Linked DNA regions of Pelodiscus sinensis. The protein of the gene in region 1 interacts with the protein of each later gene in a pairwise test. Links are inferred from orthologs where the notes say so. Each region holds a gene or a part of one and is shown on either strand. Other genes may lie near its edges. The genes, in order: TBX6; C25H1orf94; heat shock transcription factor, Y-linked-like.

Region 1 (7,858 bases):
TGCCACTGGCCTCCCAGCGCTGGCCCTGCCACTTGTAGCGCGAAGCCCCGGCCGGAACCATGTCCACCAGCAGCAGGTACTTCGCCTCGGGGTCCAGCCCCGTCACCGACACCTTCAGCTGGGGGAACATCCGCCTGTGGGGGGAGACAGGGTTGAGGGGCTCGGGTTCAATGGGGACAAGGCCCCCCCCCACACACAAATGTCCCTTTTCCATCCCTGTGTGGAATAAATTGTTCCCTGTGCACCACGGTGCGATTAGATGTGCACCACCAGCAGAAACACGCACCTGGCTGGGGCCTCTGCTCATCAACCAGGCACGCAAGGGAACCCGGCCACAGACCCTCCCTCCCACTTTAGACCCCCCCCATAGACTCACCACAGCCCCTCCCCCCAGGCCCTCCCCACACCACAGCCCACTCTTACCGCCCTGATTTAGTGATGATCATCTCAGTGCCCACGGCAGAGAAACGCTTCCACAGCTCCCGGTTCTCCAGGCTCAGCCGCACACTGGAGGACAGGCGGGGAGGCTCGGCCGGGGGCAGCTGCTGCCCACCTGCATAGGGCAGGGGTGGGGCAGGAAGGGCCAGCGGGGCGCCCGAAGGAGGTGGAGGCAGAAGCCGTCCAACCCGGTCCAATGTAGGGCAGAAGGGCTCCAACTTGGGTGCTGGCACACCATCCAGATCTAGGTGAGCAGAAACCAATCAGAGATGGAGTCTGCAGGACGGGAGTGGGGGGCACCAGTGGGGCTGGGCTGGCAGGGGCTGCGGGGCCAGGAGTGAGGGGCACCAGCAGGGCTGGGGGAGCAGGGTGTGGCCGGTACGGGCTGCGGGGCAGGAGTGGGGGGCACCGGCAGGTCAGGGGCTGTGGGGCAGGAGTGAGAGGCACTAGCAGGCCGGGAGGACGCAGGGACTGCGGAGGGGGGAGTGAGGGGCACCGGCAGGGCTGTGGGAGCAGGGTGAGGCCAGTAGGGGCTGCGGGGGGAGTGAGGGGCACCGGCAGGCTGGGGGGTGGCCCAGAGGCTGCGGGGGGGAGTGAGGGGCACCGGCAGGCTGGGAGTGGCCCAGGGGCTGCGGGGGGGAGTGAGGGGCACCGGCAGGCCGGGGGTGGCCTGGGGCTGCGGGGGGGAGTGAGGGGCACCGGCAGGCCGGGGGTGGCCCAGGGGCTGCGGGGGGAGTGAGGGGCACGGCAGGCGCGGGGGGGCCCAGGGCTGCGGGGGGGAGTGAGGGGCACCGGCAGGCCGGGGGTGGCCCAGGGGCTGCGGGGGGGAGTGAGGGGCACCGGCAGGCTGGGAGTGGCCCAGGGGCTGCGGGGGGGAGTGAGGGGCACCGGCAGCCTGGGGGTGGCCCCAGGGGCTGCGGGGGGGAGTGAGGGGCACCGGCAGGCTGGGAGTGGCCCAGGGGCTGCGGGGGGGAGTGAGGGGCACCGGCAGCCTGGGGGTGGCCCAGGGGCTGCGGGGGGGAGTGAGGGGCACCGGCAGGCTGGGGTGGCCCAGGGGTGGCGGGGGGGAGTGAGGGGCACCGGCAGGCTGGGGGTGGCCCAGGGGCTGCGGGGGGGAGTGAGGGGCACCGGCAGGCTAGGGGGGGCCCAGGGGCTGCGGGGGGAGTGAGGGGCACCGGCAGGCTGGGGGTGGCCCAGGGGCTGCGGGGGGGAGTGAGGGGCACCGGCAGGCTGGGGGGGGCCCAGGGGCTGCGGGGGGGAGTGAGGGGCACCGGCAGGCTGGGGGGGGGGGCCCAAGGGCTGCGGGGGGGAGTGAGGGGCACCGGCAGGCTGGGGGGGGGCCCAGGGGCTGCGGGGGGGAGTGAGGGGCACCGGCAGGCTGGGGGGGGCCCAGGGGCTGCGGGGGGGAGTGAGGAGCACTGGCAGGCTGGGGGGGCCCAGGGGCTGCGGGGGGGAGTGAGGGGCACCGGCAGGCTGGGGGGGGCCCAGGGGCTGCGGGGGGGAGTGAGGGGCACAGGCAGGCTGGGGGGGGCCCAGGGGCTGCGGGGGGGAGTGAGGGGCACCGGCAGGCTGGGGGGGGCCCAGGGGCTGCGGGGGGGAGTGAGGGGCACCGGCAGGCTGGGGGGGGCCCAGGGGCTGCGGGGGGGAGTGAGGGGCACTGGCAGGCTGGGGGGGGGCCCAGGGGCTGCGGGGGGAGTGAGGGGCACCGGCAGGCTGGGGGGGGCCCAGGGGCTGCGGGGGGGAGTGAGGGGCACTGGCAGGCTGGGGGTGGCCCAGGGGCTGCGGGGGGAGTGAGGGGCACCGGCAGGCCGGGAGGGCAGGGTGAGGGGTTTGGGTCACACTCTGAGGCTCCAGGAATCTCACATCCTGCTGCCACTCCCCCCACCAGTTGGTCGCTATCTGGTGCTAAGAGCTCCGCTGGTGGGGGGCGGCAGGGCCTCTCCAGATCCCCCCAGCCCCAGTGAGCTCCTGCTTGTCCATCGTCCCCTTCCTCCTCTGCCCCCAGCTCCCTTGCCACCTCTGCCCCAATGCTATGGGCCCCCTTTCCACCCCCCACACCACTGGGGCCCCTTCCTCCCCCCCCCATGGATGCCCCCGCCCCAGAGCCAGCCGCCCTGGCCCGCTCACCTGGGTAGCGGAACCCTTCGTACTGGGCCCCGGGCCCCGGCGGGAAGCCAGCCGGCAGCCCCCCGTGGGGCGCGGGGCGCAGCGGGTAGGAGCCCCCCAGCTGGGGGAACAGCTCAGACGCGGGGTACATGCTGGGCAGCAGGGCTTCTCTCCTGGCTCGGGGAGGGGAGTGGAGCCTGGTGGTTAGAGCTGGGGCCGGACACCCGGACGCCTGGCTTCTCCTGGCTGCTCTGCTCTGGCTCGGAGGTGTCTGGCCCCCTATTTATGGGCTGCCCCGGCACTTTGAAGCGAGTCCCCAAATGGCTCCTGGACAGCAGGAGGGGCAGGGCGGGCGGGAGGGGCTCTGCTGGGGGCGCGGGGGGAGGAGGGAACGGCCTAGCAAGAAGGCAAAGCGCCCTGCCCCCCCAGCCTGCTGACGCCCCCACTCCCACCCCGAACCGCTGCCCCCTAACCTGCCAATGCCCCCTGCTCTCACCCCCAGCCTGCCAACACCCCTCACTCCCGCCCTGCAGCCCCTGCCCCCCACCCCCACCCCCTTCCCCCCCAGCCTGCCAACACCCCTCACTCCCGCCCTGCAGCCCCTGCCCCCCACCCCCTTCCCCCCCAGCCTGCCAACACCCCTCACTCCCGCCCTGCAGCCCCTGCCCCCTTGCCCCCCAGCCTGCCAACACCCCTCACTCCCACCCTGCAGCCCCTGCCCCCCACCCCCTTCCCCTTCAGCCTGCCAACACCCCTCACTCCCGCCCTGCAGCCCCTGCCCCCCACCCCCACCCCCTTCCCCCCCAGCCTGCCAACACCCCTCACTCCCGCCCTGCAGCCCCTGCCCCCCCACCCCCTTCCCCCCCAGCCTGCCAACACCCCTCACTCCCGCCCTGCAGCCCCTGCCCCAGCCTGCCGACATCTCCTGTTCCCACCCCCAGCTTGCTGGTGCCCCCCCACAGCCGTTGCACCTCCCAGCCTTACTCTGCCTCTCACTTCCACCCCACAGCTCCTGCCCCCAAGGCCTTCTGGAGCCCCGCAGCCCCCGCCCCGCCAGTGCTCCCCATTTCTGACCCACAGGCCCTGCCAGCCCAGCCCTGGGCTCCCCTGTTTTAAGTAACCTAATTGCCCAATTAACACCTTGGCTCCAAAGTGGCTTGATTGATCCTGGCCTGGTTTACAAGGAGGGAGGAATCATTTGTCAGCCAGCTGTTTTCACAGCTGTGCCAGACAGCTGCAAGGGTGGGGCGGGGGCTGGGAGCCAGGACCCCTGGGTTCTCTCAGGCTCTTGCTCTGTGTGTGGGGGGGGGGGGTCTGGTGGGTTAGAGCAGCCCTGGGCCTTGGGTCTGGCTCCTGCCTCTGGAGTGGACGTGGGGTTAGTGACATGGACGCCAGGCCAGGCCAGGAGCACCCCACGGCCAGGGCCCTGCCCCCTCGCACCGCGCCCCCTGCTGGGCCAGGCCAGGAGCACCCCACGGCCAGGGCCCTGCCCCCTCGCACCGCGCCCCCTGCTGGGCCAGGCCAGGAGCACCCCACGGCCAGGGCCCTGCCCCCTCCCCGCCGCGCCCCCTGCTGGGCCAGGCCAGGAGCACCCCACGGCCAGGGCCCTGCCCCCCTCGCACCGCGCCCCCCTGCTGGGCCAGGCCAGGAGCACCCCACGGCCAGGGCCCTGCCCCCTCCCCGCCGCGCCCCCTGCTGGGCCGGGCCAGGAGCACCCCACGGCCAGGGCCCTGCCCCCTCGCACCACGCCCCCTGCTGGGCCAGGCCAGGAGCACCCCACGGCCAGGGCCCTGCCCCCCTCGCACCGCGCCCCCTGCTGGGCCAGGCCAGGAGCACCCCACGGCCAGGGCCCTGCCCCCTCCCCGCCGCACCCCCTGCTGGGCCAGGCCAGGAGCACCCCACGGCCAGGGCCCTGCCCCCTCGCACCGCGCCCCCTGCTGGGCCAGGCCAGGAGCACCCCACGGCCAGGGCCCTGCCCCCTCGCACCGCGCCCCCTGCTGGGCCAGGCCAGGAGCACCCCACGGCCAGGGCCCTGCCCCCTCGCACCGCGCCCCCTGCTGGGCCAGGCCAGGAGCACCCCACGGCCAGGGCCCTGCCCCCTCCCCGCCGCGCCCCCTGCTGGGCCAGGCCAGGAGCACCCCACGGCCAGGGCCCTGCCCCCTCCCCGCCGCACCCCCTGCTGGGCCAGGCCAGGAGCACCCCACGGCCAGGGCCCTGCCCCCTCGCACCGCGCCCCCTGCTGGGCCAGGCCAGGAGCACCCCATGGCCAGGGCCCTGCCCCCTCGCACCGCGCCCCCTGCTGGGCCAGGCCAGGAGCACCCCACGGCCAGGGCCCTGCCCCCTCCCCGCCGCGCCCCCTGCTGGGCCAGGCCAGGAGCACCCCACGGCCAGGGCCCTGCCCCCTCCCCGCCGCACCCCCTGCTGGGCCAGCTCAGGAGCACCCCACGGCCAGGGCCCTGCCCCCTCCCCGCCGCGCCCCCTGCTGGGCCAGGCCAGGAGCACCCCATGGCCAGGGCCCTGCCCCCTCCCCGCCGCGCCCCCTGCTGGGCCAGGCCAGGAGCACCCCACGGCCAGGGCCCTGTCCCCTCGCACCGCGCCCCCTGCTGGGCCAGGCCAGGAGCACCCCACGGCCAGGGTCCTGCCCCCATCGCACCGCGCCCCTGCTGGGCCAGGCCAGGAGCACCCCACGGCCAGGGCCCTGTCCCCTCCCCACCGCGCCCCCTGCTGGGCCAGCTCAGGAGCACCCCACGGCCAGGGCCCTGCCCCCTCGCACCGCGCCCCCTGCTGGGCCAGCTCAGGAGCACCCCATGGCCAGAGCCCTGCCCCCTCCCCGCCGCGCCCCCTGCTGGGCCAGGCCAGGAGCACCCCACGGCCAGGGCCCTGTCCCCTCGCACCGCGCCCCCTGCTGGGCCAGGCCAGGAGCACCCCACGGCCAGGGTCCTGCCCCCATCGCACCGCGCCCCTGCTGGGCCAGGCCAGGAGCACCCCACGGCCAGGGCCCTGTCCCCTCCCCACCGCGCCCCCTGCTGGGCCAGCTCAGGAGCACCCCACGGCCAGGGCCCTGCCCCCCTCGCACCGCGCCCCCTGCTGGGCCAGGCCAGGAGCACCCCACGGCCAGGGCCCTGCCCCCTCGCACCGCGCCCCCTGCTGGGCCAGGCCAGGAGCACCCCACGGCCAGGGCCCTGCCCCCTCGCACCGCGCCCCCTGCTGGGCCAGGCCAGGAGCACCCCACGGCCAGGGCCCTGCCCCCTCGCACCGCGCCCCCTGCTGGGCCAGGCCAGGAGCACCCCACGGCCAGGGCCCTGCCCCCTCCCCGCCGCACCCCCTGCTGGGCCAGGCCAGGAGCACCCCACGGCCAGGGCCCTGCCCCCTCCCCGCCGCGCCCCCTGCTGGGCCGGGCCAGGAGCACCCCACGGCCAGGGCCCTGCCCCCTCGCACCACGCCCCCTGCTGGGCCACCAGGCCAGACCAGGAACTCTCTCACGGCCAGGGCTCTGCCTCCAACATTCCTGTGGTGGAAGAACACCTCAGCAGTCCAGCACCCTGGCATTTAATTTAAAAAAGGGGAATTACGCAAAAATGAGGAGGTTAGTTAAACAGAAATTAAAAGGCACAGTGACTGGAGCCAAATCCCTGAAAGCTGCATGGAAACTTTTTAAAGACACCATAATAGAGGCCCAACTTAAATGTCTACCCCAAATTTAAAAACATAGCAAGAGACCTAAAAAAGAGTCACCGTGGCTTAACCGCCATGTAAAAGAAGCAGTGAGGGACAAAACGGTATCTTTTAAGAAGTGGAAGTCCAATCCTAGTGAGATAAATAGAAAGGAACAGAAACACTGTCAAATCAAGTGTAAAAATTTAATCAGAAAAGCAAAAAAAGATTTTGAGGAACAGCCAAAAACTCAAAAAGAAATAACAAAATGTTTTTTAAGTACATTAGAAGCAGGAAGCCTGCTAAAAAGCCTGTGGGTCCCCTAGATGATCGAGCTATAAAAGGAGCAATCAAGGACGATAAAGCCATTGCGGAGAAACTAAATGATTTCTTTGCTTCAGTCTTCACGGCTGAGGACGTTGGGGAGATTCCCATATCTGCACCGTCCTTTGTGGGTGATGAATCTGAGGAACTGTCCCGGATTGAAGTGTCATTAGAGGAGGTTTTGGAACAAATAGAAAAACTTAATGTTAACAAATCTCCGGGACCGGATGGCATTCATCCAAGGGTTCTAAAAGAACTCAAATGGGAAATTGCTGAGCTATTATCTGTGGTTTGTAACCTGTCCTTTAAATCGGCTTCTGTACCTAATGACTAGAAGGTAGCCAATGTGACACCAATATTTAAAAAGGGCTCTAGAGGTGATCCTGGCAATTACAGACCGGTAAGTCTAACTTCAGTACCGGGCAAATTAGTTGAAACAATAGTAAAGAATAAAATTGTGAGGCATGTAGAAGAACATAATTTGTTGGACAAAAGTCAACATGGTTTCTGTAAAGGGAAATCCTGTCTTACTAATCTATTAGAGTTCTTTGAAGGGGTTAACAAACCTGCGGACAACGGGGATCCAGTAGATATAGTGTACTTTAGTGTACTTTTCAGAAAGCCTTTGACAAGGTCCCTCACCAAAGGCTCTTGTGTAAATTCCATGGCCATGGGATAAGAGGGAAGGTCCTTTCTTGGATTGAGAACTGGTTAAAAGACAGGAAACAAAGGGTAGGAATAAAAGGTACATTTTCAGATTGGAGAGGGGTAACTAGTGGTGTCCCCCAAGGGTCAGTCCTGGGACCAATCCTGTTCAACTTATTCATAAATGATCTGGAGAAAGGGGTAAGCAGTGAGGTAGTAAAGTTTGCAGATGATACCAAACTGTTCAGGATAGTCAAGACAGAAGCAGACTGTGAGGGACTCCAAGAAGATCTCACCAAACTGAGTGATTGGGCAACAAAATGGCAAATGAAATTTCATGTGGATAAGTGTAAAGTAATGCACATCGGGAAAAATAACCCCAACTATAGGTACAGTCTGATGGGGGCTAATTTGGCTACGACAAATCAGGAAAGAGATCTTGGAGTTATCGTGGACAGTTCTCTGAAAACTTCCACACAGTGTGCAGCGGCGGTCAAAAAGGCAAATAGGATGCTAGGAATTATTAGGAAAGGGATAGAAAATAAGACCCAGAATCTCTTACTGCCCCTGTATAAAACTATGGTACACCCACATCTTGAATACTGTGTACAGATGTGGTCTCCTCACCTCAAAAAAGATATTTTGGCCTTGGAAAGGGTTCAGAAAAGGGCAACTAAAATGATTAGGGGTT
Region 2 (7,349 bases), on another chromosome or scaffold:
TTCAAAAGATTCCAGAGGCATTGAAAATGAACCTCGCAGTGATTTGCATAAGTCAATATTTTAAAATAATTAAAAGCTTGCGAAATCAAGCAAGGTCACTGCGAGTCGTCTTGGCCCCGTGTGTTGTTGCAGATGACGAATCAGGTGATTCGTGTGCCTTTGCGGGCTGTCAGCATAGATGGTCAGGGGTTTACAAAATCTCTTCCCAGCGACTGGATTGCCTGAGAGTTGTATAAGGACACTGATACCTCCAGGATCTGTGTCCAAACTGTGGTCTGGGTTTGCACCTGCTCAGCCTCCCAGTTGAGAAGCAGTGGTGACTCCAAAGAGGTTTATTCATGTGAGGAGAGCAAAGCAGGTCTTGGCATTTGGTCAACAGGAGCCAAAACCTACCTGAAGGCAGTTCAGTTATTACTTGTACATGCACCAAGATCAAGACCCCGTATGATACAGGGCAAGAGACAGCTCCTACCCTCAGCAGACAAAACCAACACCTGGAGGGTATGGGAGAAGACTTTTGCCCACAGCCCACCCCTCAGCTCAGTGGTAGAAGTGTCAGTAGAACCCAGCTCTCCTGAGTCCTAAGCTTAGTGTGCCCTGTCCACTGGACCCCACGGCCTCTCTCATTGCATGGGAAATGAGTTTGATGGGTCTCAGTCCAGTTTCTGTGGGTTCAGGCGTCCCCATCACAGCTCTGGTGCTCTTGTGGACAGTTTCACCGAACAAGACAAAGGGGCGAGAGAAGAGGATGATCTCCCCAATTATGATAGTTTCAGGGCAGTTACATGGCCCAGTGGCAAGGAATTATGCTAGGTTGGCTGCCCTTGAAGAACCCACTAAATTCAATGCTAACAAAACCAAAAAAACCCCACCCCACTCCATGGAGCTTTACGGGTCTGCGTCACTAAGGGTGTGTCTAGACTACAGGGTTTTTTCGACAAAGGTGGACTTTTGTCGACAAAACTATACCTGCGTCTACACTACCGCCGAGTTCTGTTGACAGTAAGTCGACAGACGCAGCAGTTTTGCTGACGGCAGTAAACCTCATTCTACAAGGAGTAACGCCTTTTGTTGACAGGGTTCTGTGGACAAAAGGCGCTATTGCATCCACGCTGTGCTTTTTCAAAAGAGAGCGTCGGGACTCTCTGTTGAAAAAGCGGCTTGCTTTGTCGACAGAGCTGGCTGTAGTCCAGACACTCTTTGTCGAAAGAGGCTTTGTCGATAGTATCTGTCGACAAAGCCTGTAGTCTAGACGTACCCTAACATAGGGGAGGAATTAAAGTTCAGATTGTTAGTAGTAGTTTGATGCTGTTCCACGCTGGCTGTGGTGCTTCCCTTCTCCCCATAACATTTGAGCCCCTCTCATGAGTGCATGAACAGATGTGATGAACATCTGGTTCATAAAGACACTTGGGCCTGCATTCTCCTTTCAGTTACTCCAGCTATGCACCAGGAGTTACTTTGGTGGAGTTACTCCCGGTTTACGCAGTCACAAGAGGATAAACGAGCCTCAAGAGTCTTCCTTCAAGATTTAAGTACATTTAGCCCTGGTCTACACTAGGACTTTATTTCAAAATAACCCCTCCAAAGTCAAATTTATAAGCAGAGCATCCACACTACCAAGCTCGTTATTTCGGAATAACGGGCTGCAGAATTCAAAATCTGGACTCCTGCTTTTCATCAGGAGTAATGCTAATTCCAAAATAGTTTTTTCAAAATAATGGTAGTGTGGACGCATCAGTGTTGGTATTTCGAAATAACTACTCCGCAGAGTAATTCAAACTAATTACTCCCCATTGCTTCTTGGGGCTCTAAGTCCAAGGTAGCACGTCCACATTAATGAAACCTGCCTTGCGCTAATTTTGAGGCTTTTCCATAGTGTGGCCATGCTAGTTCAATTTTGTTAAATTGAGAGTTAAATCAAATTAATTAATTTCAAAATAGTTGCCTACTGTAGACATGGCCTTAGTGAGGATGGGACACTGGGTTTGAGTCCTGGATGCCTGGGTTCTATTCCTGGGCTGTGTGGCCTTTGTTAATTTCCTTTCCTTCAGTCTCGCTTTCAAGGGGAAATTATACTAATTCACCTTTTATAAAGCACTTTGAGCTTCTAACGTTACTTATTTACTGTATCTCAGCAGGCTGGGCCCTGTCTGTGAAACTGTGAATGGTGTTATTGCATTTTTACTTTCAGACTAGGACAGTTGCCAACCTTTGTTAATTAATTGCTGGGTTTACAAATTTGACTCCCTCACCCCCAGTCCCGCTTCAGGAGACTACTATAAATACGTCCCTCTTAAATTTGAAAACTGTGCTTCCTCCCCTCCCTTCCTTCTCTGCCAAATTGAGCTCTCCTTTGTAAAGATCAGCTGTTTATAGTATAACATTTTAATTTTCTGCTTTGCTTTTTGAAAGCATCTTTTGCTTCTTACTGTAAATATTTTGATTTAAAAAAAACTGCTGTGGGGAAACTGAATGCGGCAGCTGCTTACTGTGCTTGGGAATTACAGATGTGGCGAGGCATCACGGGGCGTTTTGCATAGGAAAATGAATGTGTGGAGGGAAAGGAAATAATTTTGCCCTCTGGCTTGATGCTGTGAAAATAAACACAGTGTTTCATCTCAACTAGTTTGAGAGATTTCCTACTCTGGTTGTACATAGAGTCCCAAAGCTACTGTAGGGCAGAAAGGGTGTTGGAAAGTGAATGTTTCCACATGGAGTTGATCAGTGATCTTCTTTCTGACATAGTTGGAGAACACTCACTCTTTCAGGTAGCGGCTGCCCTCTCCTCTGAGGAGGTCTGATGGCAAGACTGGGTGACAGGGAGGCTGCAGGACTGGTGACGTTGACTGGAGCTCTTCAGGCAGACCTTGTACCCGTTTCCAGATCTCGTGGCAGGCTTTGTCCAGGCTGTCCTGAGGGGTGTTGTGGTGGATCCAGATGTGCCTGGGGAAAGGTCCTAAAGGAAAGGGGCTTTTGGAGCTGATTGTCGGACCCGGGAGCTCACTCCCGCCTGTGAGCATCTTTCAGTCTTTTCCCACCCAGGCACCAAAAGACAACTTTTTGAAAGGGGCGTTGTGGGTACAGAATGGAATGAAAAGCAACAAGCCATGGTAACTTGGTAACCATAGAATCCCTGGGTCCTGGCAACTGGTACGAAGGACAACAACCGGAAACAGTGGTAGGGATTCCAGCAGCACTGAAAGGAAGATGGGGAAGAGGGAGCCATGTGTGAGATCCTCCAAGTAAGGCAGAGGGCAGCCTCTAGGACCGGTGTCCATGGGGTCGCCACCCTGCCCCAACTCCATATATTCTCAGGTCCACGTATTAACTCCACCCTCCTCTTTCCTTCCTCTGTTCTTTGTATTTAATGTATCCTGTGACAATGAGAGGGTTACACCCACGTTGTCTCCACTGAAAAAGGAGGTGAGTTCTCCTCTGCTCCGAGTCCTTTCTCTTATCTCATATCAGGTCCCCTCCTGATCCTTCTCACAGAAATAAACTGAAGCAGAGACCGCAGGATTTACTCTGGTGTGGGTCTGAGAGCCAGGGGCTCTGGCTGTCTTGTCTGGTTTACTTCTGTGTCTCTAAACTAAGAAGCATGAGCATAGCTAGCTAAGTCTCCATTTGTTCTGCAGATGGGCTCAAGGAACCAACTTTCAGAACTTGCCAAAGTTTGGAGGGGGGTCTAGATTGAGGATTTTGTTCAGGACACTATTTTGTTCTTAATGGTCCCTCTGAAGCATTGGACATCGGCTGCTGATGCAGGATACTGGACTAGGTAGCATGCTCTGGTACAACACGTACACCTCCGTCTTTTGCCAGCCCCGCCTTGGGAATGCCACCCAGTACAGTTATTTCTGTACTGCAGTTTGGAGCACCTGGATCCTGACAGAAGAACGGATTCTTAATAGTGACACAGCTCATGAAGAATCGTATTGCTTCTGCAGAAGAGGGCCATGAGCTTTTTCAGCGGAAGCTCCCAAGTCCTGTTCTGGCTGATATTTAAGGCCAGGAGGTGAGAGAATTATGAAACTATGTTGAACCTGAGGACAGGCTTATCAGCGACAGTTAAACCACATTTCTGTTGGGGAGGGCTGTGGAATGTGAATGAGAAGAAGGCAGCCAGCCCAGACTTCAGATGCACTGGTTATACCTGCAGAAATTCATTTGGCTGCTATGGTTCCATGTGCACCATGTGTCTGTGCAAAACAAAAGAACACGGGCAGGTAAAAGTGAAATTTTTACATGTACAAGAGCCTTTGCCCATCTGCAGGGGCAACACTTGTGCATAGATTTTTTTGTTTTGTTACTGCAGCTGTTGCACCTTTCTCTGAAATCTTAGCTCTGTGCATCTCCCGTTAGCTTAGAGTAAAAAGTGGACTTGTCTATCATGCATCTAAAAAGTCACGGTGACAGTAGTCTGTATAATCAGAGAGATTATTCTATGTACAAGCCTCTTGGCTAATACTGCATGGACATCTAATTGCTGCTCTTTTCACCCACAGCAGCTGTGGTTGGTCAACAAAGTAGATGTTGGGATTTATTTTATTCATCCTAAGTCTGTTCATATCCCTAGGGAGACTTGTTGATTGTGCTGCTTTTTGTTTGGGAAAAACACTCTTAAGATTCACCAGCCCAGATGAATTAAGACTCCTAACCACCTCTGACTATGTATGGAATGTCATTTAGTAGTTAAAGGGAGACTTAATGTCAGAATTCCTATGTGATGTTCTCAGATTTGGCACTAATCCCCTTTGTGCCCCGGGCAAGTTCTTTCTCCTTCCTGTCTCTCTGTTTCCCAATCTGTAAAATGGAGTTCATGCTTCTTACTACCAGGAAATCACTGTGAGAACTAACTAAGCCAGCAGCAGGCAAATACCAGCACGTGAGCCGGATCCAGTTTGCCAGGGTTAGCCCCTGGTGGGCTGCCGCTACTGTATTTACCTGCATCTCTGCAGGTATGGGTGCTTGCAGTTCCTATTGGCCGCGGATCGCCATTCCTGGCCAATGGGAGCTGCAGGAAGTGGTGTCCCAGATGGTGCTACTTCCTGCAGCATCCCATAGATGAGCTGCAAGCACCCATATCTATGGTGGCACAGGTAAATATAGCAGCAGCAGCCTGCCAGTGGCTAACCCTGATGAACTGCTGCCATCTTATTGCCCACACCTGGACTAAGGCCAGTTCTATGCTATGGACTTATATTGGTATAACTACATTGCTCAGGGGTATGAAAAAGCCATACCACTAAGCGATGTAGTTATACCCTCTAACACCCAGTGTAGATAGGGTCATGTCTCCCATCGACATAGCTACCACCTCTCAGGCCATGTCCACACTAGGAAATTCTTTCGAAATTACTAAATTTGACTTAAGAACTGCCGATTAAACAACGTTGACCTTGCGTATCCTCACTACAGGAAAGCATCAAAATTAGTCCGAGGCAGGCTCCATGAATATGGACGTACTACCTCGGACTCAGAGCCCAGGAAGTACTCTGGGGAGCTGTGGGAGGCCTCCCAGAGGCAAGTAAGTTCAAATTAGCGGCACTGAAGTGTCTACACTAATGTTATTTCGGACGTACAAGTTTGGGAATAGCATTATTCCTCATGAAAAGCAGGAGTACAGAGTTCAAATTCCATGGCCCCGTATTCCAGAATAACAGCCTTGGTAGTGTGGAAGCATTGCTTACTTATTTGAATGGGGGACGGGTCTGGGGATTTTGGACTAAGGTCCTAGTGTAGACCAGAGCTCGGGGAGGTGGATTAACTACCATGCTGGCAGAAGCTCTTCTGCTGGTATAGTAGCATCTTCATTAATGGGCTACAGCGTTTCAGCTTCATCACTGCATGTGAAGACAAGACCTAATAGGTGTAAATCATGCCAAGTGACAGATGGCAGAACAAGGAGCAATGGTCTCAAGTTGTGGTGGAAGAGATCCAGGTTGGATATTAGGAAAAACTATTTCCCTAGGAGGGTGGTGAAGCACTGGAATGGGTTACCTAGGGAAGTAGTGGAGTCTCCATCCCTAGAGGTGTTTAAGTCTTGGCTTGACAAAGCCCTGGCCTGGTTGATTTACTTGGAGTTGGTCCTGCCTAGAGTAGGGGGCTGGACTTGATGACCTTCTGAGGTCTCTTCCAGTTCTATGGTTCTATGTTTCTATGACCCTTGGCTCCCAGACATTCAGAAATATTATGTTTGATTGTGTTCTTTGGGGGTGGAAGGCTTGCAGTGATTTATATTGCTTTGGCTCTGGTCGGGGAAATGATAGATAGGATATAATACAGGCTGAACCTCTCTAGTCCGGCACTCTCTGGTCTGGCAACATCCATGGTCCGGCATGACTTTAGTTAGCCGGCACTTGTCATTAGGGATGTGAAAGTTTAACCAGTGAACCGGTCAGCATCACCTTAAATTGGTGGCACTAACTGGTTCCGATTAACTGGTAACGAATGCGGGCTGGAGCAGCCCACCATGAACAGAGGCTGCTCTCGTCCAGAGCAGCCTCTGTCTACAGGGAGCCCGGGTGCCCCAAAGGTAGGGGCTGTTCTGATGGGAGCTGAGAACTGGGGGCCAGTGGCGGGGAAGGGGCTGAGGACTGGCAGCAGTCAGCCCCAGGGTGGGATTGGGGGTTGGGAATCCTGTGGGCTGGGCACTGCTCCAGCTCAGATCCCGCTTCAGTCAGTTAACGGGTTAAACGTTAGGTTAACCCAACATTTAAGCAGTTAACTGATTAATCAGGATTTTATATCCCTGCTTATCATGGGTATGGTCAAGTTTCCTGCCATAAAGTTTGTTTACAGCCACCAGTCCTGGCTCTTGGTGTTCTGTGCTGTGATTTAGCTCCAATTTATCCCTAACAGTCTTCTAAGAGCCCAGGCAGCAGGGGAAGTGTTGGTAAAGCTGCTAGATACTATTGACCCCCCTCCCCCCTCCCCCCTCCAGTTGGGCAAATTCTCTGGTTCAGCAGTTGTCAGGTCCCCAGGGTGCCGGACGAGAGAGGTTTAATCCGTAGGTGTCAGAATCTGGCCAGTTCTGAGCCTGAGCTTTGACTGTGGGTGGCAGTGTAGATCAAACATTCCTGGCTGCTGTTGGCTGCTTAGAAAGGCAAAAATCCCCTGTCCAGCTTAGTGTGGAGGTAATCAGGCAAGTTGATCAGTGGCTAGTGGAGGTTAACAGCAGCCTGCACTAGAACAGACACACATGCACTTTCAAAGAACCCTGCAAGTTTCTGCCAACTTGGCTGTCCTAGGCAGGCCTGTCCCCAGAGCTGGGCACACCTGGTAAAAGAGAGGGAGACCTTTCAACTCAGCGTGCTGCCAGGTGCTTTTTTTGGAAAGCAATTGAT
Region 3 (7,538 bases), on another chromosome or scaffold:
GAATGTCTGAGTTTCTTCCCTCATTCTTTAGGCAGTTTTCACTAAATTCCTGTTCTAATGAGAAAGCAACTGGTGGTGTATTTTTGATGCCAACTCTTCTTTTACATCTTACAAGGAGGTGGGGATAGCCTCTCTTAAAATTCGGGTTATGGTAGAACTGTAACTAAATAAAGCAAGGGAAAAGATTTAATCACCTCTATGAGAATAAAAAAAAGTCAAGTGCACATTCTGGCTAAGATTTTTGCCTACATAAAGCAAACATTAATATTGAACGGACACTGGCAAACAATTTTGGCCCCAATTTTAAGCTGCAAAAAAGATATGATGAAACAGAGGTATTTTCATTACATTTTAAATCAGTGAAAATTCTTTGAATTTAAACATTCTCCTGCAGCATTGTGTTTAACCTCAGGAAATGGACCTGAATAGCTTACTTTCACTGTAGAAGCCAAATTAAGTGCAAAAAGCAAACATGGCAGAAATGGTGAAAGGTAAATTTGAAATTTAAAAGGTGTTAGAAATACAGACAGGTAATATTTTAATGGATTATATCTCTTAAGTGGGTCTAGTATCGAAACTAAAGTTTAAACAAAAAGGATGGATATTATCCGACAGTAGGAGACTTTCTAAAGCATGTAAAAGATTTAGGTCCAGAAGTACAAGTCCCCTTGACTTTTAGTAATTTAGATAAAAGGCCATAAATGTTCAAATAGTAACACATGGCTCATATCCATCTTCCTAGCATTCAGCAAATGCCAGTGGGAAAAGAAAGCAATGCAAACCTAGTACCAGAAGTACACCAGTAACCAGAAGAGAGAAAGAGAAGGGGGCTGAGAGGATTTCTGTTTCACTGGCTCAGGCGAGCAGGGAAAAACCCACACTGAAATAGTCACTTCTGGGCAAAAAACTAGTATTCACATTTTTTTACTCATTCATGAGAATACTTTGAGAACTATGGATGTCAGAATAGCCTTCAAAACCCTCATTCCTAGATTCTCTTCATGAGCATAAAACTTTTGTGCATGCAAAAAACCCTCATTAAATGTATTTCAGAATAGGCATCTTTTAAGCTTTGAGAAACTATACTGGCATTTTACCTTGCTAAAAGCAGATGCTGCTTTTTCTTCTGCTAGAAATTCAGCTAGTGAGGCAGACCTTTGAAAATCTTGCCGCATTTTGCTAAAGCCATAGAGATTAAGCTGACGGATGAAACTTTTCATGCAATCAGTTTCAAAAATTCGCAGAGGGCCTCTCCTTTCTAGCACCTCCTTTTTAAAGAGCTCTTCATCAATCACTACACAATTTCCATCATCATCCCACCAAAGTGACTTAAATTGATCACTTTCAACAATTTTCCATAGTTTCTTTGGAAAGGTGAGGGATAAAAAATCATTGTCTTCAGTGGAATTATCCTCACAGAGAGTAAGACGTGGTCTTTTTACCCATGGTCCATCACTCAGAGCTTGAAAAGCATTTTCTTCTATTATAGACCTCAAGGCAGAGTCACCAGCTGCTGTTTTATCACACAATGGAATAGCAGAAGAAATTGAGGTAGCAGAATCAACCATTTCATCCTGAGCTGAAACATGTAATGTTTCTGCTATAGGAAGGTCCATCTCCAATCCTTTATCGCTTTGACCTTTTTCAGTTGTAGCCATTTATGCTATTAGTTGAGCTTCATGCTCCTAGACAGTGGTATATTAAAATGATGCTAGCTTAAAGTGAAACTTCAGTAGAGAGTTCTAGAACATCATAATGATACTTGTGGTGTGTGGCTGTGACATCATAAAACAACTGGTTTCCTAGCAAATTGAGGTAATAATGGCCAGACAAGTCACTAAAGTGAAAAGCATTTAAATATCATTTACGAGAGATTAGATCTAATCTATAAAAGCTTTGTCTCATGATGTAAATAAGGCATATACTAACTGGACATAGAGCACCGTACCATCCATTCCTCCCTCTCCCCACAGCAGTCATTCCACAACAGAGCTGAGGGAAGCTTGTACTGCTGCGGTTGTTGGGAATAAAGGAAGAAATTTATTTGCCTAGTCTTTCCACTGAGCCTCTTTCACTAGTGAAGAATTCCCCACACTGTGTTCTTGCCATCAGACCCTGGCTGTATGAAAAAAAAAATAGGAGTACAAGTATTTAAATTACATACACTGTATATAAAAATAAGAATTTACAATTCCATTTAGCAGCTGCAAAGGAGACTGTTCCCTCTGGTCTCTTGCAGAACCCTCTTTCTGCTCCAAAGACTGGGGAAGGAGGTACTGGTAAAAGGCAGAAGGAAAGAATCTGAAAAAAAGTCACCACAGGTTGATCATCACTGCCCATCTTCTATGTGATAGTAACATTACAGAGCAAACCAAGTCACCTGCCAGCACTTGTCACAGGGATAAGAGAGAGAAAGAAGGGGAGAAAGGAGATTGTCTATTAGATGTTGACTTCCTATTGGTTCTCCCTTCCAGTGAGAATGTGGGAATTCAACCTACGCGTTTTTTCGGCTGCTCTTTTCCAGTAGGGTAGCCCAGTGGACAAATGGAAGGCCTTTTACTCCCTGGGCCTCTCAAGGAGGTCGAGCAGAGCATGTTCTCAAGTCCAAGTGGACAATGATGGTGGGATATAAATGCATTATTAGGAGGCTACCTCTAAACCCCAATTTTGCTGCAGTAGATGAGGAACAGTGTGGCCTATAATGAACTATCTTCCACCACTGAATGCCCATTACCGGGGAGACTGGGGATGGATGGGGGGAGAAACGGGTAGATGGAAGAATAAAGGCAATGCAGTAGGGAGCACTTGCCTCACTAGTATTACAGTTGTCAGAACAAATATATTCCCTACTTCTGGCATAACTAACTGTGGCTAGTGGTTATAGTGAAGAGATGAGTTTCCACATTCCTGTCATTCCTGTATCAACCATTTTTTGAAAAACAGTACTGATGGATATCAGAGTGTATACTTATCACTGAGTTGTAAGAGCAAACACAAGCATCTCTTTGCCAAAGAGAACAAACTACTGTAACATGAATTTCAGATTAATCTCACTAACCTACAAGCATCCTCAGTAGAGGTTTGGGAAAGAAAAAAAAACCCACCCGTCACCCCCCAAAATTCATGACAATGTCAAAGTAAACAGAAACTTTTCTAGAGAATTTACTAATTTAAAATGGCACAGCTCCTTGTAAAGGGTTTAATAATTTGGACTGACCTGTGTTTCACAAAAGATAGGGTAGTTTATGCAACAGTACAGTCTTGGTATTTATGTCAGCTGTAAAATTGATGACAATCTACAAAATCTGAGCAATTAAAACAAAGTATAGATTTTCCACATAATATAGGAAAAAATAGTTTATTAAACAGCTGAAGGGGCTAATAACTAATAATGTGTTGCTTAATGGTAAAATATGACTACAGAACTTGAAGACGCAACACAGTTAACATCTACCCCCCCACCCACAAGTCAGTGCAACGGTTGTGATTATTTACACAATAATTTACATTGAGTCAAAATCATGTAAGCTGTTATACATTCTATATAAAACAAAAGCCTTCAAGTCTTGCCAGAGAAGTGCAATGCTCCTGTGCCTCTGTAGTTAAAGATAGTGTTCATGTCTGAATAGGAAATGACAGGTAAAGACATGCCAACGCATATATCTAAACAACATACAGCAAGAGAGGCCAAATATATACTTAAGACTTGAAAGACATCCTCTGTAATAGTCTATGCATTTCATACAAGTTTTTAAAAAAATACCTTTACATAATATTTATACTGTACAGAACTAGAATTTGAACAGAATATATTACATTGCTACAATGTTCGTATAAATACTATACAGCCAGGCACATAACCAATCCACTAGGAAGGTTCACCGATTAGACAACCACCTATCTTCAGGGACAAAAGATCATAACACTAGGAACACAATACTTAAAATGCTTAAATGAGGTGTAGAAAAATCTGAATTTGAGTTACCAGAGGTCATGTTACAGAATATTAAAAGTTTTCAATGCCCCATGCACTACAATTGATATACTGGATTAATTTCTCTGGTAATGACTTTATAGGTATATTTAAAAAAAAAAGATTAACTAGTGTTCCCATTTGGATTCACTACCATGAGATTAAGTAAATATGGAAAGCTCCAAAAGAAATCATTTAAAAATCTCCAATGTAATACATTATAAGCCACTAACTGACAAATACCTATCCTTAAAAGAAATTAGAACATTTTTTGAGATGAAATACATTTGGTTGTTTATTCCTAGTTCCAGTTTTGTTGTCAGTTGTCCATCTTCTAAATTCGTTTTAATCTGGCACATCAATGCTTAGCTTGGGAGGTGGAATAACGTACTTTCCAGGACTTTGTGTAATGACCACTCCAGTCTTTTTTCGGAACATTGGTGCAATTTTGGGAGGTTCTGGAACAGGTGTTTCTTCCATTTCTTCATTATCTTCGTGATGAAGATCATAGGAAATATTTCCATATTCTCTCAAGAATGGGAAAATTTCAAGTAGAAATTGACAGAAATCTTTGCGAATTCCAAACCACCCTGGACAAATCCAAATTAATAGTTTCAGTTTTAATCAAGAAGGAAATTACACTTTAAAACCAAGTACTCATTTCATTTTTATACTAAAATCTTTTATATAAATATTGTTTATAAATAGTTAGACACTAACACATGGTGCTAGTGACTCAGTAGATAGTACCCTTCCATTAATTAATCCCACAGCATGGCATACAGAAGTATTTTACCTGCTACAGGCAAATCTTTCACATAAAACAAAGCCAACGTCCTGACTACTTGCAATTAAAGATTCCATGATATCCTTGTCAAACAGATATTAAGATTGGTGACCGGTTGCCATATTTCACCTAGATAAGTTCCAACTGAAATGAATTTAAGTACATTTGTTTGTTAAGCACATGGGGTCCATTTGGAATGACCGGGGTTATGTTACCTAACTCATACTCATAAAATAAAAGTTATACAACACACTACTAGATCTACAGCATATAGCCTTAAACACTAAGCTAATGTTGTCATCAGCTACACTGCAAATGCACTGTGGTCACAGCTACAGGTGAAGACTGACTTGTGCCCTGTAATGTTCCACCACTCTACTCTTCCAAGCACAAAGTTGAGGAGGCAATTTAGGCTCTAGACTTAAAAAACAAACAAAAAACCCCACACAGGTTTAAAAAGTTATATACAGTAAACTTCCGATAATCCGGCACCTTTGGGACCCAGGGGGTGCTGGATTATTAGATATGCCGGACTATCGGAAGGGAGGGCTATGAGGGGTCTGGGGTGAGGGGGGGGTACCACTCCAGACCCCTCATAGCCCCCCCTTCCGATAGTCCGGCTCTGCCCCAGGCGTCCCTGATTCAGCCACTGCTGAAACTGACCAGCAGCGGCTGAATCGGAGACGCCTGGGGCAGAGCAGCTGGAGTGCTGCCGGGTTGGTCGGGGTAACGCCGACCCTTGGCGCAGCGAGACCAACCAGGCAGCACCCCAACTGCTCTTGGGGACGCCTGGGGCAGAGCAGCTGGGGTGCTGCTGGGTTGGTCCCGCAGCGCCGCTCCTCGGCGCTACTGGATCAACCCGGTAGCACCCCAGCTGCTCTGCCTCAGGCGTCCCCCCAAGTCAGACGTTGCTGATACTGATCAGCAGCTGACTCAAGGAAGCCCCCGCTGGTCAGTTTCAGCAGCAGATGACTTGGGGATGCCTGGGGCAGAGCAGCTGGAGTGCTGCTGGGTTGATCCAGTAGCGCCGAGGAGCGGCGCTGCGGGACCAACCCAGCAGCACCCCAGCTGCTCTGCCCCAGGCGTCCCCAAGTCAGACGCTGCTGAAATTGACCAAGAGCTGACTCCAGGAAGCCTGAGGCAGAGCAGCTCTACCTCAGGCTTCCTGGAATCAGCTGCTGGTCAATTTCAGCAGCGGCTGAATCAGGACGCCTGGGGTGCTGCCGGGTTGGTCCCGCAGCCCCCAGGGGCAGCGCTAGGGGACCTACCCGGCAGCGCCCCAGCTGCTCTGCCTCCGGCTTCCCCGATTCAGCCGCTGGTCAGTTTTAGCAGCGGCTGAATAGGGGAAGCTGGGGGCAGAGCAGCTCCAATGGTCCGGCTGCGGAGCACTTCCGGGTTCCTGATGGTGCCGGATCATCAGGAGTGCCGGACCGTCAGATGCCGGACCAATGGAGTTTTACTGTAACTAGCAGAAACACAGTTAGAAGTCTGATGTTAAAGTAAACATATCAGACAAAAATCTTAGGTCTGGGGAAGAAACCTATGCTGGAGATGCTTTGATGAAACAAGTAGCTACAGACACTGAGAATATACTAGCTGAAAAGAAATTAGTCAATACTTTCATGATCAAGTCTTCACAAGGCCCTTTTTAATACATATTGGTAAAGAATATGAAGCTAAGATATTCCTTATTATAGGGCTAAATCCATTAAATATTTTCACACCACCATTATTTATATACCAACTCCTCCAAATCAATACAAGAACTCATATAGCAGCTGAATATGAAAAAATTACTTATGATCTAAGAACAAGTTTAAAAAAAGTCAGTGTATGTTGTGATTACAGAGACATAAAACAAGACAATTCAGTTTACAATAATAAATAATATAAACTCTTTCAACTATAAAAGGATCCCAAACGGTTTTTATAATATTTACACACATTGCATCGTTAAATAAAGCTACCCTTGGAGTGGAAGTCACAACTAACTGCACATTGCTATTCTGTGTTCTGGTTGAAGGAGAAAAAATATTGGCTAAGGACATCAGGACAAGCCCATCCGCTTACAATACATGCTATAGGATCTTCAGCATACATAACAGGAGGGGGGAAAAACCCTACCCTCTACACAATAAAAAATAAACCATATGAAACACAATTTACTGTGGAAGGATTAAGGACTGAACTAATTCTGTTGGACTTTGACATTGTGATTCCAAGAAGCTAAGGGGTCAAAATCAAACTTAGATGGATTACAGAAAGACACTCACAACAAGGGATACATACACAGCCTGTGACTCATAAGGAAAAACTGTCATAAGCTGCAAAGCTTCTTCTGACTATGCCCACTGTGTTAATCTCCACCTATCTAGTTCAGAGGTGGGCAATAATTTTTAATGGGGGGGCCACTCCAAGATTTTATCGAGTGGTCAAGGGCTGCATTTCTACCAAGGCGGTCTGGAGTCTGGGACAGAGGTTAGGTGCAGAAGGGAGGTTGGGGTAGGAGACTGAGTGCAGGAGGGGGTGTGGAGTCTGAGGGGGAGTTTGAGTGAAGGAAGGGACTGTGATCTTGGGCAGAGGCTTGGGGTGCAGAGTCCAGGAGGGAGTATGGGTGCAGGAGAGGATTCTGGACTGAGGGAGGGACCCTAAGAGGTGGTGCAGGGTCTGAAGGGAGTTGTGACCTGGGGGATGAGGTGCAGAGGGTTTGGGTGATGACTTAGGGCAGGGGAAGGGGATGCAGAGTCAGGGAGGGGGTATGGGTGCCAGAGGCTTCTG

Evidence for each region.
Region 2: the proteins of TBX6 (region 1) and C25H1orf94 interact in binary tests that used the Homo sapiens proteins (3 or more experiments, as listed by UniProt). The link is inferred for Pelodiscus sinensis from reciprocal best matches to the Homo sapiens genes TBX6 and C1orf94.
Region 3: the proteins of TBX6 (region 1) and heat shock transcription factor, Y-linked-like interact in binary tests that used the Homo sapiens proteins (3 or more experiments, as listed by UniProt). The link is inferred for Pelodiscus sinensis from reciprocal best matches to the Homo sapiens genes TBX6 and HSFY1.

Annotation. Positions count from the first base shown.
Region 1 is NW_027465967.1:62,649-70,506, forward strand, and holds the start of TBX6 (T-box transcription factor TBX6), read right to left. Parts: upstream 3,089-7,858; 5' UTR 2,696-3,088; coding exon 2,566-2,695; intron 683-2,565; coding exon 424-682; intron 135-423; coding exon 1-134. UniProt on the Homo sapiens protein: T-box transcription factor that plays an essential role in the determination of the fate of axial stem cells: neural vs mesodermal. Acts in part by down-regulating, a specific enhancer (N1) of SOX2, to inhibit neural development.
Region 2 is NC_134735.1:5,911,884-5,919,232, reverse strand, and holds the start of C25H1orf94 (uncharacterized protein C1orf94 homolog), read right to left. Parts: upstream 3,076-7,349; 5' UTR 3,024-3,075; coding exon 2,764-3,023; intron 1-2,763.
Region 3 is NC_134723.1:41,600,663-41,608,200, reverse strand, and holds the start of heat shock transcription factor, Y-linked-like, read right to left. Parts: upstream 3,065-7,538; 5' UTR 1,659-3,064; coding exon 1,098-1,658; intron 164-1,097; coding exon 1-163. Other genes in the region: TMEM185A (transmembrane protein 185A), read right to left, coding at 4,319-4,563.